Linked DNA regions of Caenorhabditis elegans. The protein of the gene in region 4 purifies or fractionates together with the protein of the main gene of each other region. This does not show direct contact. Each region holds a gene or a part of one and is shown on either strand. Other genes may lie near its edges.

Region 1 (3,342 bases), 9.0 Mb from region 4:
CAATTTTTTTTAATGAGACATTTTTGAATGATTAAAAGGACATCTATTTGTTATACATTTTAAACTCCGCCAGTCGTTGGCCGCGCCGGAGGCGCGGTCATCGGCTGGTTATCGAATAAAATGTCACGATTTGAAGTTTCGAAGTTTGTAGTTTGTAGTCTAGCAGACCAATTTTCAATACATCTCTGGAGTCACTTGGATTTCTCTGAAAAATATTTTTTAAAAATGAGGAATATTTGGAGATTAGAAGTGAAAATTTTGTAAAAATTGCTTTAAATCGAGATTTTCCAGGCTAAGGAGTTAATTTTCAGTGAGAAAACCGTCTGAAAACGCAAAAAATCCAAGTTTTTCAATTAAAAAACCCATTGGTCTGCTAAATCGAAATTTGTAGTTTGTAGCCTAGCAGACCCATTCTCTTCAAAATCACTTGGGTCTGCTAAATCGAAATTTGTAGTTTGTAGCCTAGCAGACACTTGAATCATCTGATTTGTCTGAAATTCTGAAAAAATTCGCGTTTGATTTGACTGTGAAACAACAAAAAAAAATCGAATTTCTAACTCAAAATTTACTCACAATTTCAAAATTCACACGATTTTCCCGCTAGAATGCCGAGAAAAACGTGGTTGAGAGAGGTGATTTAACAGAAAAAGACGAAAAAAAAGGGCGCGGAAAATTATAATTTTGAAGAATTCGAAGAATCTAATGTTGCTTCATTTGGTATGGTGGAATGAGTCCGGATGTCTCGGCGCGAGCCTTCTTCTCTGCCTCGATCTCGTCCAAATATGGCTTCAAGTACCACGATTCCTGAAGAAAAATAGATTTTTTAAAGTTGAATTTCGAGTGAAAAGCTACCTGATCCCATTGAGTCCATTCAGCCTTTGGAAGCTTCTCGCCGTGGAGAGCCAAAGTGTGGGCACGTGAAAGACGGATCTGAAGTAAAAAAAGATTGAAAATTCCAATTTTTAATCGATTTTCTCACCTTTCTCTGATCGAAAACGTGTGGCTCCTGGAGATTAAGGCGTCTGAGAGCCTCGGTGACTTCTGGAGCCGGCTCAAAGTAGGTGTCGTGGAATTGGAGCCCGTACTCGCGTCCTCCCCACAAGTTGCTCCATGCGAACTTGCGAAGCGTGCTGGCGATCGTGCCGTTGTAGGCGAAGGTGACGGCTTTTGAGGCGGCTTGACTGGCCATTTCGTTACCTGAAAAGAAAAAAATAAAAGAAAATTAGTGGGGAATTCTGGGGAAAAGCTGAAGAAAAACTGAAAAAATACAAGTTTTCACATGTTTTTCGGGAAATATCGATTTTTAGCTCAATTTCTCGGATTTTAAATGATTTTCTTGAGATTTTTTACATAAAGTCACTTATAACAAGCAAAAAATTAGGCAAAAATGCACAATTATCATTGAAAACTCTTAAAAATCCGGCAAAAACAAAGATAATGCAAAAAATTCTCAAAAATCAGATTCCAAGCGATTTCTCGAGTTATTTTACAAATTTACGCATTAAAACTGTCAGAAAACCTCATAAAGCTGATTTTTGTGCTTAAAATGCAAAAAAAATCGGAATTTCCAGCTAAAAATCAAAGAAAACCGAATGAAAAGGAAAATTATGAATTCGGCGGTGTCGCTAAACAACACGCAGGGTGTTATTTCGGAGCATCGTTGTGAACAAATTTTTGGAAATTAATTTTCTCAAGCTTTCAAGCATTGAGAACCTAATTTTTTGAAGTTAAAATACACATTTTATGATGGTTTTTTCTAATAAACTAAAGAAAAATTTCATAGGAATCGATTAAAGGGAAATTGAAGTATTTTATTTTTAACTAACGCCATGTAGCAGATAGATAATATGTTTTTTCAAAGTTTACTATGTTAAAATACTCCTTAGAACTTGATGAATTCAGATTTTTCACCAGAAACGTTGCCGGATGAGTATTTTGTGAAAAAAAAATAAGAAAATTGGCTGAAGTTTGATTTACGGTAAACAACACGCGCCTCGTTATTTCGGAGCTTCGTTGCAAGTGATTTTTTTTCGATAATTTTTTTTTCGAATTAATTAATTTTTTCATTAAATTGAACCGATTTCTATTGATTTTCTATTTTAAAATTGCGAAAATAAACAAATAAAAAATTTTAGTCGTTAATCTCTCAACTTTCACCCGTCAATTTTAATGTTTTAGGTCAAAAAATGGAGACAGTTATCGAAAATCGGGATTTGGACGGGTTAAAGGAGGTTGTGAAGGCGGAAAAAAAGACTGCGTGAGTTTTTAAAAGAATTATCAGATAAATAATGCAATTTTACAGGAAAGACGACGAATTTGTGCTTCTAAAAGTCGACGGGTTTCTGAAAAAGCGGGGATTCAAGGTCGCCGAGCAGCCTTCAGCCACCAAGGAAGAGCTTGCAAGGCGGCATTTTCATTTTGTGATGAATTGCTCCAAGCTTGGTAATTATTTTCTCGAAATTTCGTTTAAAAATGAGTTTTTTGCAGGTTTGTGCTCCAAAAACACTCCCCTGAGCACTCTACAGGACCTCTTGGAGATGAGCTCAATTGAGGAGTGTAAGCAGATTTTCAGCATAGTAGAAGAGAATATGAACGAGTTTAAGCAGGTAAAAAGCCGGTTTTCAAAGAATTTTCCCGATAAAAAGCGGATTTTTTGCAGCCCGGCTTCATTGAAACCGCCCAGAACAATATTCTACGCTTCTGCAACGATTTGCTCCGCCGCTTGAGTAGAACCGCTGAAACATCGTTCTGCGGAAGAATTATGTTCTTTCTCTCGAGGTAAAAAGCGAAACATTTTCGAAAAATCCCAAAATTTCCTGCGAAAAACTCAATTTTTTCCAGATTCCTCCCGCTAACCGAAAAATCCGGTGTAAACTTTATGGGACACTTCAACACGCTTAACGTTACCAACTACGACGAGGTATTTTTTCGGTTTTTGGACTGAAAAATCGCAAAAAATCGCAAAATTTCAGTCTGAAACCGACGGTGAAGCTCTTCTCGCTGCCACGTCATCGGCTCCAACACCTACGGAAGGAGCAGAGGATATGGAAACTGGAGAAATCGAAGAGGATAACTCAAAGTACGGAAAAATCGGAAAAAAGCGAGAAATTTCCACTGAAAAATATCATTTACCTGAATTTTTTGGGTCTGCTAGACTACAAACTACAAATTTCGATTTAGCAGACCCATGTGGTTTTGAAGAGAATGGGTCTGCTAGACTACAAACTACAAGTTTCGATTTAGCAGACCCATGTGGTGTTGTAGAGAATGGGTCTGCTAGACTACAAACTACAAATTAGCAGACCAAATGGTTTTTTAATTGAAAAACTTGGATTTTCAGCG
Region 2 (4,868 bases), on a different chromosome or scaffold from region 4:
AAGAATATGAGTTTATATTGTGATATAGATTCTAGAAAAAATCTGGGCGGGTTTTACATACCCGGAAAAACAGGAAAAAAGGTGAAAGATTCATGAAACAAAAGCCCTTTTAATGGGATAAAAATGTAGGAAACGGTTGGAAAAACAAATACAATGGGTACAATTGAACGAATATTTCCACTTTTTTGTACTTTGTGCTAAGATCATAAAATGTCTATAACCTTATCCTTTTTTTAATATTAAAAAAACCATTCGATTAGAAGTTATAATATGGAAATTTCAATGATACCAAAAACTAGAGCTCAAGCTTTACGAAATGATGCATTCGTAAGATTTGCTCCTTTAAATGTTTCTGAAAGAATTTTCTGAAGATGATCACAGATTATATGAACTTATTGAGAGGAAGTATAGAATGAAAGTGTAAACGAATTATTATTTTCTCAGTTTTTTGTTGGTTGTATTGTCTTTTTTTGTGAATTCTCCAGCTTCCGTGTTAATTGAATTTATATTTTGAGGAACTAAAAAAGACGAACAAGAAGAAAATATAATTGTTTTGGTGTCAGAAAGGATTTAGGAAGGGAGAAGAACAATACATACATGTTTTCACAGTGATAAGTAGAGAACGATTTTTCAGAACCTGAACGTGCCCAATTTCACGAAATTGATATTTCAATTAGCTCAAATAAAACTACTTGATCATAGTATTGTATGTGATAATATTGCCAATTATTAAATCATTCACTAATGCTAAAATGACGAATTACATAACATAGTAAAACTTATCAAAAATCTTGAATTTTTATTTTCATCCAAAAGTGACAATTTTCCCCCTATCATAATAATGGAAGGCGACCGAAATATTATTTTTTATACAAAAAATATATTTTGATAATGTTTAAATTATTTTCAATTGAACATTGTAAGTCTTTGAAAATGCAAGAATGGTCTATTTCATTGACGAACATCCGTTTTAACTTGATTGAATTATTAGCTTGAAGTAGAATTACACCCCTTAAAATTATATGCTATTCCAATGAACTATAATATTTGGTAACTTATTTAAAAACAGGATGAACACTTTAAATTTGAAAAAATTCAACTTTTTAATCTAGGCCGTATGTTTTGGTTATGAAGTTCTGCTAAAATGATTTTCTGATTTCAATTTAAGCTGTTCCTGTGAAAAAATGTTGATGTTTGGTTTAGGGTTAGAAGTCACGAAAGGAGCAAAATAAGTCAAGTGCATAAATTGAAATCAAAAGGAACAAGGGGAAAAAGAAAGATGGCAACATAAAACAAAGTCAATTTTCCGGATGAATAAACTCAAAAAAAGAAAGAAATAAACGAACCAATGTCAATGTTCTCAACAGCTTCTTCTACAGAGCAATCCTTGGATTGAACAGTTTTTTTGAATGGATACAAGTTGCAAACCACCACTGAGACGAATGAAATGTTGTGTTTCTGGAAGAAAGAAAATAACCAAAAAATACAAGGAAGGAAAAGAAGATGAAACAAATTCAATTGAAAATAGAAAGAGAAGGTAATTGAATAGACACGGGCGGTAGAAACTGACACGTAGGCTTGCTCTCGGTGCATCATAACAACACCCCAATCAGTTGTGTTCGTTGATTTTTACGCCAATTTTTATGGATGTTCCAAGTTTAATTTTACTCTATGGTTGATGACGAAAGTTGAAGGTTTACAGATTATCTCACAAAAATCTTATTTTCACTCTGAATTGATAAAATATTTCTAAAAATACACAATAGAATTTCAAATAATATAATGTTCCTGGAGTATTATTTTTTGATTATCTCAGAGATTCAATGTTTATCCTGAAATGCAATATGACTGTAATACAATTTTCCGGCAAACAAAGTTTTTTGACTAATATTTTGCCGTTCTCCGTTCAACTGAACGCTAACTTTATGAAATTTTTTTTCGGTTTCTAATTAATAATTTAATTTTAAAGGTGACATATCTCAACTTTGTCTCAAAGTGTTCTAGCCATCAGGGCTGGCACTTTAATCCCAACAAGAGGCAAGACATAGGTTGCGAAATGCGCAAGTAACAAAAAATTGATTCAAAAAAATCCGAAAAAACTCTCTAACCCGTTTTCCAAAAAATTGTAATCCAACTTCAAAAAATTAACAAACAATTGTCAAAGTTTCAGATTAGACTAACTTTTTTTTTAAACAAAAGCGAGATATAATGTTTATTTAAAAAAAAATTATATAATTCGAAATAAGAATTGAAATTTGAATGAAGTCGTGACGACAAAATGAAGAAAAAGAGGACGAAAAATTGTCTTCTAATCTTCTTTTTGTCTCCTTCTCAACTCTTTATTTTCACGAGATAAGCCTTCTTCATCTGACGAAAGGACCAACTTTTTGTCACCCGTTAGCCCTTCTTTTTTTGGTTTTTTTTCTTCACTTCATTCTATTCAATCATGAATTCGATTAAACTAAGTAATGGTGAAATCTTTCAAGCCAGTACAAAGTTCATTTTGTGAGATTCCCGGAAGTTCTACAAAATCCGATCTTTTGTCAGAATTGTTTTGCACAAATGTTGCAAATTTATTTATTTCCACTTAATATAATTTGCAAGTTTCAGTTGAAAACGGTTCGACAACAAACAAGTTAGTTTACAAATAAAAAAAATTCAAAAAAAAAAGAAAATAAGCTATCTCACCTCTAGATCCTTTCGATCACTTTCCGTATCTCTTGCCAAGATTCCTCCATGAACGGCAGGATGCAGAGTTTTAACTCTTCCACCAAGCATCTCAGGAAACTTTGTTACATCTGCCACATCATGAACATCAATTCCTTGATCTCTGATCGCTTTCGCTGTTCCACCGGACGCAATAAGTGTTAAGCCAGCAGATACAAGTCCATGAGCAAGAGGAATAAGTCCTGTCTTGTCAGAGACCGATATAATGGCTGAAAATTAAAAATGTTTAGCTTTATACTTGCAGTTTATTTTAGTTCATTATTGTAGTAGTTTTCATTTGTTAAATACACAAAAAAGGGTTTTCCAAATCAAGGAGCGAGGTGGGTGAGGTTAGAGGCGGGGAAGAGGTGCCCCCGTAACGCCTCGACCTGGTGGAATGTCTAGTTCAATAAATAATTTTAAAGAATAGAAATGAATTATATTTATTCCGGGATTGCTTGAAAAATTAATTTAAAAAAATTCAAAATGAAATTACTTACCAAGTGATTTTCCGTCGGTCATTTCACACAATTCGTCGATGTATTGTATCAAGTCGATAGTCTTGTAAAATTCAATTTCTAACATTTTGTTTAATATTTTTTATTCGAGACGTAAAAATCACACAAAATAAAAAATGAACAAGGAACCAAAAAACACTAAAAATAGAAACTTTTGAGATAATCACAGGAAAACGATGGATGAGGAGAGCATGAGTTTATGCATTTATAAGTATTATTTTGTGAACTTTGAAATCTTGAACATTTTTGGAAAAATACACTCAGAAATTGGCAACTTTTTCAATGAAAAATGTCTTTTAGACTGGTCAAATTGAACAGTGTTGCTCAATTTTTCAATTGATAAGATAAATTTGATAACGAGGCAAATATTATTGTGTTTTTATTGCTTGTAGATGAAAGAATTAATAATCGAAAAAAAATCAGAAGTAGAAAATAAAAAGAACTTTGAAATCGATTTTAAATATCGCAAATATTATATAACTTTGAAATCTGTGTTGGTGTTTCAAAAACCAATAAAAATCTAATGTTTCTCTGTTCTTATAATAAAATCAAAGCTTCGAATTGGAGATATACGTACATTAATTTTTTTTTCTCGATTTGCCAGAAAATCTTCAAAATTTCAAAAAAAAATTCAATCGGTAGTTTCCCTTGATAACAAAACACAAACATTTTTATTATGAAGTGATGGTGTCTCTGTTTTACGACGGTTTTTATTTGTTTCTGTGTGTTATCAGTTTATCAATGTTTTACTTTGACAAAAGCTTTTTTACTCTGTCCACCTATACTTGCAGAATATTCCTTAAAATTGAAAATATCGAGAGGATCTGTTTCCTCTCATTTCAGTTGTTAGCAGTAAATTAGGCTTCATGTAAAAAGATTTCTGTGTCTAGATTTCATGGACCTATAAATAAATGTTTGGAAATCGATGACAAGAAATAAATTGTTTTTATTTCTAGACATAATTATTTTTTCTAATGATATCTTTCTATTTCTTAAATTCTAAAAACTAAAAGTTATATTTTATTTGAAGACCTGACTACATTTTAGCTCCGGATTGTCGAACTGTTGATACGTGCGAAGCAACAAACATTGTACGTCCACTGACTTCTGTTTGTTTTCCAATTGATGCTAATACCAGGTTACGAATACGACTGCAACTTTTTTTAAAAATGTTTTCAGTCAACCAAAGTTCTAAAACTTACGGATTAATTAATACATAAAGCATTGAATTGATTGAATTCCAAATCATCCATACAACATGTCCAATGAACACTCCAATTGGTAATTCCCATGGAATTGGTAGATATTCCCATGTCAAATACCCAATAACATGAAATATAGAAACACATAATACTTGAATTGTCAATATTAATTCTTTCTTTGACAATAATGCTGCTTTCTGAAAATCAACAAATGTTGAAAAATAATGAAACATTAGCTCTTCTGAAGGGAAATGAAAAGTTTCAAAACATTCTTAATACAAATATCTGCCCTTTGTTTGCGACTACTGTGAAATTTTTTTCATATACCTAAAACGTTTTGAGATTTGACGAATTGAAAATTTAATTCGAAAATCATGGGGTAGCTGTAGATGATATTGTACTTGAAAGTTTTTTGCATGAAATACTGTAGAAACAGTTTTCG
Region 3 (3,859 bases), 9.4 Mb from region 4:
AACCAGGGGTACCTGGAGTTACTGGCTATCCAGGAGTTCGTGGGCCACCGGGGCAGGATGCTGAATATTGTCCGTGTCCACCAAAGAACGCAGGAGTCAATCGGAATAGTTATGTGCAGCCGGCACCAGGTAGGCTACTTTTTTCCATTAAGTAGGCGGGGCTGATATTACGGCCTAAAAAAACTCAAATTTCAAATTTCAACATATTTTTTACAGTGTCCACAAGCTACGCCACAGCATCCCAAAGCCGTTACGTGTCAGAGTACAATAAAGAGGATGAGTACAGGAAACGAGTGCTGGCTCGAGTGCTCAAGAAGCAGAGACGACTACTTTTGGCGACAAGAGCAAAGAATGTTCGCCGGAAGCCTGTTAGTCACGCTAGTCCGTAATTATTTTTATTTTTGTGAAATAAATTTGTATAAACTTTTTCACGGACGTTTCCAGAAAGTATACTGTCCCAAAAATTTTAATTGGGCTTCGCATGGGCCCCGCCCACAAGGCTCGGACAGAAACCCTTTGTGAACGGGAAGATTTTTTTTCTGGAAATTTTAGAATTTTTTCTGAAATTTTCTTTTGGCAAAATTCCTAATGAAATCAGTCATTTTGTGGGTGGAGCTTATGAGTGTAATAGCGAAATTGCTTGAGACCAGGACGAATTTTTTATAAACTTTATTCTTCACAAAATACAAAATACAAATTTCATATATTTATCATTTCTTCTCCGTGCTCTTCAAGAATTCCAGAACCTTTCCGGAAAACCATTTGGGATATTTCAAATAAAAATCGTGTCCTCCTTGTGCATGAATCTCAACTTTTGCCAAACTCTTGAGCACTGGGATGAAGCATACATTCGGGTCACCACAGAACCGGTCCAATCCACCATTCATCACTAGTGTCGGGCATTTGACTTGTGGAAGTACCAGGTCACACGGGAAACGGCCACCGCAGAACGAGTGAACTCTGAAAATTCGTTTGGTTAGGTAGGAAGCAGACGTAGGTCGCCTTGAAGGTAGTTGGCAGACATATTTGTGCCTACAGGAATATACACAACTTCGCATAAGCCCCGCCCACAAAACTCACTGATCTACGACGTCACAAAGTGCCGCCCATTGTGTCCGGAGTGTTTCCGGCGAATAATGGTCCAAATATGGTTGACGACCGGCTGCTAGCCAATGATTTGTTTCACGCATTCCTGAAATTCCAAAAATTAATTTATAAAGAGCACAAAACCAATAGATGGCCACACCCATAAAATGGACGTTCGATTTATTTTCCCATAAAAAATCTTGTAGGTAGGTAGGCATAAATTGCTGCTTCTATGTGGAAAAATGGGCCATATTGGTGTCAAATTAAGAAATTTCATTAAAAAACAGTAATCTTCCAAATATATCTAAATATCTCACCCTTGAAAGCCATGGCTCCTAGATGATTAACTTTTGTTGCACCAGCCATTACAATCATTCGATTCACTTTTTCCTTTCCTTTAGCTGCCACGTGGACCGTTGTTCTAGCACCTTCTGACCACCCCATCACGGTGAACGGCTCTAGTTTCAGGGTCTAAAATTTGGAGGCTTTTTGAAAACGTAAAAATTTTAATTTCAAAATTAAAAGCTCACCTCCATTAACCCTAGGCAATATTCACTATCCTTCATACATCTCTGAACTTCTTGTTTTCGCTCTGGAGGTCTTGAGGTACCGTAACCTGGAGGATCAATCCCAACAATTGTGACCTGATCTGGTGGGAAATGAGAGAGCAATTTGAGTGGCCAATCTTTTTTATAGCAGCCGACAGCACCGCAAATCGCGAGAATGTAGTTCGGACCGTGGCCGTATTTACAGTAACCGATTTGAGTGTCCTTGATGTGTTCCGAACTTTCGATATAGTCGCTTTGAGTCATTTTTCTTTTGCTGAAATTTATTTAGGTGTTTAATTTGTTAATTATGAGGTAGCGACGGTGAGGAAATTTTCCGGATAATATAAATGTTTGAGACACCTTTGTGACCTTTGAGACCGCACACCTTTGAAGTACATCTCCCCGATTTCTTCTATCCTAGAAAGAGACGTAACAAGGGTCAAGGTTCAAATGTATTGCTAAGAGAACGCCTCTTGTGGTGTGGTAGTACTACAGTATTTACAACCTACTAGTACAGTAGGTCGTATATATTGTTATTGTCGATGATTTACAACCACCGGATTGACCTAGAATTAACATAGGTATTTGAAATCGGTTTAGGCCAAATAATTATGGTTCCGCGACATTTATAGAATTCGGAATTTTCTGAAGAGCGAGAACATGTATTGTGAACCTCTACAATATTTAAATACAGAAATGTAGAGTACAAAACATTGTTTTTTGATCGACTTCCAGAATTATGATACGTGAAAACTGATAGTGAATATTAAATTATTCGAAAATCGGACACATGGAATTATTGATCTCAAAAATTCGGTGAAATAGGCTAAAGAGGAAGGAAAACCAAAGAGGAAATTTTAAAAGTGCATGTATTTGAATGACGAATAGTTCTACGAAAAAGATTTTGAAAGTCCGATAGGAATGAGAAATTTGTAGCCTACAGATTAAGATTTCAGAAGGAATTTGGACAAGACCGGATTAATTTTGTGCCTGTAAGCTGCGGAAAGTTCTAGAACCATCTGGAAAATACGAGAAAGTTTTGGAATGTTCTAAAACCTTCTGAAAAATTAGATAGAATTCCGGAATGTTCTAGAACTATCTGGAAAATACGAGAAAATTTTGGAAGGTTCTGGAACCTTCAGAATAATTCGAGAAAATTTTGGAAGATTCTAGAAAGGTAATAAAAATTATTAAAAAAAACATAACCACTAAAACACCGAAACATCTAGTTATTTGTAATATAAATGTGTAGTTTCTAATAAAAAGGAACTATGAAACAGTAAAGTAAACCTTTTGATTTATACTGGGAGAGTATGCAGATTTCAATCTAGGATATGAGGGTAAATAGGGAATAACAGGTGAAAGTGTACAAACGCAGTCGGAGGAAGATGTTGTTAAGATGAAAGAAGAAGGAGAAGAACACAGGCACTTGGACACACAGAGGGAAATAAATGGGAAATGAAAGGGAAAAGGGATATGGAAGAGACAGAAAATTGTTCCTATTGTCTGAAGGTATTGTATAAAACCGCAAAGAGGAAATTGATGATCGAATCATGTGATTTTGCGGGGAGTGCTGAAAGCATTTTTTTCAGATTTGTCAAGCTTGGGTCTTTGATCTTTTAGGACAACACAGTTTTACACATCTGGAACAATGCGGCTTCACCCATGTTGTCGAACACAAATAAATTTTTATGAACCAAATTTAATCAATAAAACTTGAAAATTACAATATTAGAGAAAAACTTGAAGACGATTTTCTCATTTTCCAGTATTCCCTTGTTTCCGTGTCAATGTCCAAGACTCCACTTCCACTGGATCTCCAAGCGGCTCCCATTGATCCGTGAGCTGTCCTTGTCGATCTCTGAATACTCTAGCTCGTCTTAGGATTCTTCTATATACTGTCGCAGGGTACTATGTGTCGCAGTGTTCATTGGGGTCCTGCCGGTTGACAACTTGCACAGGGACTCTATCAAAGTTTTGATCATGAAATACAGGTAGTTGTTGCGCTGTTCCCTGGAAGATTGGATTGATTGAACAATTTTTTTAGCATCACCTTTTTAAAATATCAGTTTTTAACTGGTCGGTTAAAAAATCCATATATGCCTGCCACCCGATATCATCATTTTAGGTGACTAGCGGGCCTATGGGCCCGCCAGCCCTTCGGGAATGGGGATAGGGTTAATTCGCTCTAAGTTATTAGCAAGGTAGCTGGCGCAGGTTCTCGG
Region 4 (5,226 bases):
GGCCTCATCAAAATGCTCGCTGGACAATGTAGTTAGCATTGGGACGGAACAATTCAACCTCCAATTTGTGGAAAGTTGCCTATGAGGCGATTGGTGGAACCCAGAAAGAGCTTTTCGATATGTTTAAATGTGGAATCGATCATGAGTCCAAGAGAGCAAGTCAAGTTCCACCATCTTCGGGAGTTGCTCCACCATTGATCATTCAAGCCTATCCAAATGCACAACATTCGGTAAGATACCGTTTTTAACTATAACGTTTTATGTAGTCGAGTAATTCTTACTATGCTATTAGCACTAAAATCCTCTTAAATTGTGTTGGGTTTCAGGGCTCCGATCCGAACATCCACCACGGATAGCCACATCGATGAACAAGTGATTTGAAAATTGTACGTGATCGTGATCGGTTAATTGTGTTTGTCCCACCACTCCCCATCTTCACATGTGTACTGTTCCCACTTGATCACTTCCATCTCTCTTTTTTTTTGTCAACTTTAGAATTGCCTCTGATATTTCTTCATGATTCTTTTCCTGTATGCTTTCATTACATCCATGTTTTATAATTGTAGATTCCACACTCGCCCGACTCTCCTTCAAAATGTTCAGATAACCTCCAAATAAATTATTGTAGTGTGAAGTTTCAAAAATAACATTTTTATAATTTAACCTATGTGCAATAAGAAAACACATCAGAAGTCGAACCGTATAATACAAAGAAATGAAAACTAGATTTAATCGGGCACTCGGTAACCATTATACCCAGTAGTTGAGGGAGCTGCAATTGATTCGCTTCTCACGCAGATGGCATCACTTTGAATCGATCAAATGCAGCCTTTTCGAGAGCTTCACGATCATCCGGATGAGAGATTTGAATCAACTCATAGGCTCTTTGACGAATTGATTTTCCCCATAGATTGGCGATGCCATGCTCGGTAACGATGTATCTGGCATGTGCACGTGTCGTGACCACTCCAGAACCCTGAAAATTGAACTTTAACCTTCAATATAGCTTCCGTTTATAACTAACCTGTGTCAAGAATGGAACAATTTTCGTTTGTCCCTTAGTGGTTCTCGATGGTAATGCAATAATCGCCTTTCCAAGTCCATCAAATCCGTGTGGACTGGCAGCCATAAAGTCGACTTGTCCACCGAATCCACTGAAAAAATTGCGTCCAATCGAATCCGATACGATTTGTCCCGTCAAATCGATTTCAATCGCTGAGTTGATTGATGTCATTTTACTGTTACGGCGGACGATGTCGATATGATTGGTGAAGTCGCATGGGGCAAAATCTGAAAGTATGATTGGGTTTTTAGTTGGAAGATGGAAAAAATCGAATTTTTTTTTTTTTGGGTTTCTGTAGTTACAATTTTTTTTTGATATATTTCTTGATCCAAATTGAAAATTAATTTTTTAAAAATTTTTCTGATTAAAAAAACAATTTTCTCTGTAACGGTTCTGATGAACACATAATTGGGACCAAGGGTGGCGGTTTTTAAAAAGAAAAATCGAAGGCTTTTCGTTTTTCAATTTTTAAAAATTTGTATTATAAAATTCGATTTTTCAAAAATTAGCTTAAAATTTTGGTCATTGTTTTTCTTTTTAGAATCAATTTATTTATTTATTTATTATCAATAAAAAACAAAATTAGATAAAAATCATATTTTATGGTTAATTTTCTGAACATTTTTTTTTCGATTTTTCCATTTTTAAAAAATTCGAAAAATCGGAATTTTCCAAATTTTCGAGATTTCGTTTTTCCCTCATCGGGACATTTTTGAATTTTGGAATTTTTTTCGTTTTTACAAAATTTTTGTATTTTTCCGATTTTTCTGTTTCGCTCATAAAACCAACAAAAAATATCTAAAAAATTTTAAAAAATCGTTGAATTAATTTTAACAGCAAAAACGGATATCTGTGGTATCCTTGCACAGTTCTAAAGTTATTTTTAAAAAAATTAAAATCACTTTTACAATTGGTAAAATAAAAACTTACAAAACTCTGGATTATTATCGATTTTCTTATAAAATTCCTTTGTTCCAAAAGCAAACGAGGAAACAGTTTTTCCTGGCATAAAAGCCTTCTTTTGATTATTAATAATTCCACGATCAATCAAATCAATAACTCCATCACTAAACATTTCCGTGTGAACTCCAAGATCTTTGTGCTGCTTCATCGCTGCCAACGCCGAGTCTGGAATTGCTCCGATGCCGAGTTGAAGGGTGGCTCCGTTGTCGACAAGGTTCTCGGCAATTATTTTTCCGATTCTTTGTTCGGTTTCAGACATTTCTTCTCCACCAGACTGACGGAAAGCGATTGGTCGATCCGTTTGAACCATTGCAGCGAAATGAGAAGAATGGACAGTAGTGTGGCCTCGGGTACGGGGCATTGTGCTGTTGACAAGGGCTGAAAAAATATTTTTTTGCAACTTATTGATTATTTATTTTTACCAATAATTTTTTTGGCACTAGTCGCTGCAGCCAGTGTTGTGTCAATGTCGACTCCAAGTGTACAGAATCCGAGCTCATCTGAAATAGAAAAAAAAACAAATTTTTAATTTTTATAAAGTTGTTAATCACAAAACCCTGTTTTCGCTTTTTTTTTTATGGCGACTTTTAATCAAATTTAAATTCTTACCAGGTGGAGAGACAGTAATCAGTGCAAAATCAACATTCAATGTTCCACTTGTGTATAAAGAGGGAACTTCAGAGAGGAAAATCGGAGTGTAGTCAGCGGCGCCCAAATTAACATTTTTACGATTTCCCGGGCAAATGAACAGGCTGTTGTTTTGAATTTTTCCTGAAAGCAGTAAATTTAAAAATTAAAATACTTGAAATTGACTCACCGTGATATTTAGGGTCGAATTGTGGGCAATTTCCGCTTAAAATTAGATGAGACATTCGGATATTGTTGAGATTTGCCGAATCAACACGACGACAAAGTGCTTCGAGAAGAACATTGGGAGCAGACGCATGGTTTCCAACGTAGATATCAGAATCTGAAATAATTTGAATTTTAGAGATTTTTAATTTTAATTTCTCGGATACAAACCTGAATTCACCATCGCCAAGGCTTCATCTGCCGATACATATTTTGGCACGAATCCAGGTTTTGCGTGCAATAATTTTGTTGGTAGACGAGGCCCATTTGTGAAATGCCTGAAAATCACAGTTCAAAAAATTATCGACTTTTGTAGAAGAACACTAACCTTGAGAGGGAAATAACTGAACTTTTAGATAGTTGCTTGGCCAGTTTCAAGGACATTTCTGCAAAAATGGAAACAATTAAAATATTTTTTCAATTGAATTGAGAAAAAATCAAAAAGAAAACTCAGTGAATGATAAAAGAAAAGCTATCGAAACCTCACATGTGAATGCTTTTTCAATGTTCTATGTGCTCCACCTCCTTCAGTTCTTCCAAAACATTTTTCTCAAATTTCTCTCAAAAATAGAATCACGAGGAGATGAGAGAACAAATTAAGATCACTGATAACACATCAATGAATCAGTTTTTCTTTTGACAAAACTAGAAAAAGTTCGAAAACCCTACAAAAACTAGAAATTGTTCACGAAAATCAAAAAATCGCTTCGAAAAAAAATGTTTCCAAACAAACGACACTCCGATATCCCGATGGAATGTCGGTGTCTCTCGATTTCATGCACTCTCTAATAGTGTAGTCAAGCGTTTGATTTTTGGATTTTTGAACTTTGCGGGAACCCGGAAGAGTTAAATTTTGACTCAAAATAATAATGACAATTGGAATGAAAATATAATTTGTATCGTGATTTCACTAGATTTTGACGTTCCTTCTTAAAGGCGCACGGATTTATTCAGATGGGTCTTGGCGCGCAAAAAGTTTACGGTAGCTACCATAAACTTTTTTGCGCGCTGGGACACTTCTTAAGAAGGAGTTTAAAAATCTAGTGAAGTTACGATATATGTACTGTCACACGGACTAGAAAGCATAATAAAGAACCAAGATTTACAGAATTTTTCGGATATTGAACGAATATTTATGCAATTGCCTACATGCAAAACATCCGAAAACATACCTTTGTTCAATAATACAAAAAATGTATAGACCGCACGGGAAACTCGTCTTTGACCAGAAATGTTAATTTGTGATTGTTCAGCTCAAACATCGAAACACCTAGGATCCCTTCCTAACTTTCACAGTCCCCAAATCCTTTTTCTTACCGAAATGTATACATCCTGAGATCTTTATATTCAGAATATCCTATTTTGGTTCTCGTGAACAATTTGTTTTATTGCTCACCGAAGTGCTCACCCAAACGACTATTTCGAACCAATTTAAACTCGGTTTCCCAAATTTTCTCGTCAATTTTCCACTTTGTAGTATCCTGAAAAGTGTCTATCTATCACTTTTCTCGAACGGCTATTTTTGGGGCTATTGGAACATTTAAATTTTTTGTAGAACACCTTATGCTCTGAACTTTTAAGAAAATTTTGGATAAGATGCTTGATATTCTATTCCATTCAGGATCATCAATGAATAGCATTCTCCTTACGTTTATTGTTTTTATGAATTTCTTATAGAGTGAATTTTGTGCAAAATTAATGTGGGAAAAATAAAGAAGCGGAAAAGTACAAAACAACTTTGTTTTCAACGTATGGGATAGCTTTTTCTTTGAAAATTTTATAGAGTTCATACACAAAAAAAGCGGTCTAGAAGCTTCAGTTCATTCTGAAAGTTGGCAGATAACATCTAGATCCCTTTTCGTATTCCAGGCCCCCATGTCTGCAAGATGTCTGCAAGTCTGCAAGAATACACCATTTGACATTATTCGCAGTAAACCAAATGTGCCAAATAGTGCGACAAATGTTTTGTCAGTTGACAGCATTTTTATTAGACAACTGAAATTTGAGCTACAGGCTAGAGTTTGGAATAATATGAAGTGAAATTTTAACAGCGTCTGAGTACATAAACACAACGTAGCTCAGCAACGAAAAGAGATACATGAAAATGGTTAACTGAAGAAATGTAGCTTTTAACATGTTTATTGATTTTGTAATGTTTTATTTCTTCTAACTTTAAAGTTTCTTAAGTGAGCGACGGTCAAATTTAAAAATAACTTTTCCTAGCCTTTTTTGAGATTGAGCATCATCAACATGCGACAACAAGAATGTATGAAAATATCAAATAGCTGTTTAATATCTAGACACATCAAAGCAAATTAATACCTAAACTTTAAAAAAAATTGAAAAAT

The links.
Region 1: the proteins of ZK1320.9 (region 4) and T02H6.11 fractionate together in Caenorhabditis elegans (co-fractionation; one large-scale study listed by BioGRID). This does not show direct contact.
Region 2: the proteins of ZK1320.9 (region 4) and atic-1 fractionate together in Caenorhabditis elegans (co-fractionation; one large-scale study listed by BioGRID). This does not show direct contact.
Region 3: the proteins of ZK1320.9 (region 4) and K01A2.5 fractionate together in Caenorhabditis elegans (co-fractionation; one large-scale study listed by BioGRID). This does not show direct contact.

What each region holds. Positions count from the first base shown.
Region 1 is NC_003280.10:699,929-703,270, forward strand, and holds T02H6.11 (Cytochrome b-c1 complex subunit 7), read right to left. Parts: upstream 1,198-3,342; 5' UTR 1,190-1,197; coding exon 980-1,189; intron 931-979; coding exon 853-930; intron 805-852; coding exon 700-804; 3' UTR 554-699; downstream 1-553. Other genes in the region: thoc-1 (Death domain-containing protein), read left to right, coding at 2,187-2,257, 2,303-2,442, 2,488-2,606, 2,660-2,778, 2,842-2,920, 2,973-3,079.
Region 2 is NC_003282.8:7,880,427-7,885,294, reverse strand, and holds the start of atic-1 (Bifunctional purine biosynthesis protein ATIC), read right to left. Parts: upstream 3,268-4,868; 5' UTR 3,229-3,267; coding exon 3,207-3,228; intron 2,937-3,206; coding exon 2,689-2,936; intron 1,459-2,688; coding exon 1,347-1,458; intron 1-1,346. Other genes in the region: srt-73 (Serpentine Receptor, class T), read right to left, coding at 4,261-4,375, 4,427-4,623.
Region 3 is NC_003280.10:300,454-304,312, reverse strand, and holds K01A2.5 (AB hydrolase-1 domain-containing protein), read right to left. Parts: upstream 1,909-3,859; 5' UTR 1,899-1,908; coding exon 1,617-1,898; intron 1,558-1,616; coding exon 1,404-1,557; intron 1,193-1,403; coding exon 1,081-1,192; intron 961-1,080; coding exon 711-960; 3' UTR 654-710; downstream 1-653. Other genes in the region: col-69 (Nematode cuticle collagen N-terminal domain-containing protein), read left to right, coding at 1-129, 217-389; K01A2.6 (AMIN domain-containing protein), read right to left, coding at 3,546-3,647.
Region 4 is NC_003280.10:9,683,450-9,688,675, forward strand, and holds ZK1320.9 (Acetyl-CoA hydrolase), read right to left. Parts: upstream 3,265-5,226; 5' UTR 3,263-3,264; coding exon 3,207-3,262; intron 3,157-3,206; coding exon 3,050-3,156; intron 2,997-3,049; coding exon 2,844-2,996; intron 2,798-2,843; coding exon 2,636-2,797; intron 2,527-2,635; coding exon 2,449-2,526; intron 2,405-2,448; coding exon 1,994-2,404; intron 1,291-1,993; coding exon 1,025-1,290; intron 977-1,024; coding exon 791-976; 3' UTR 639-790; downstream 1-638.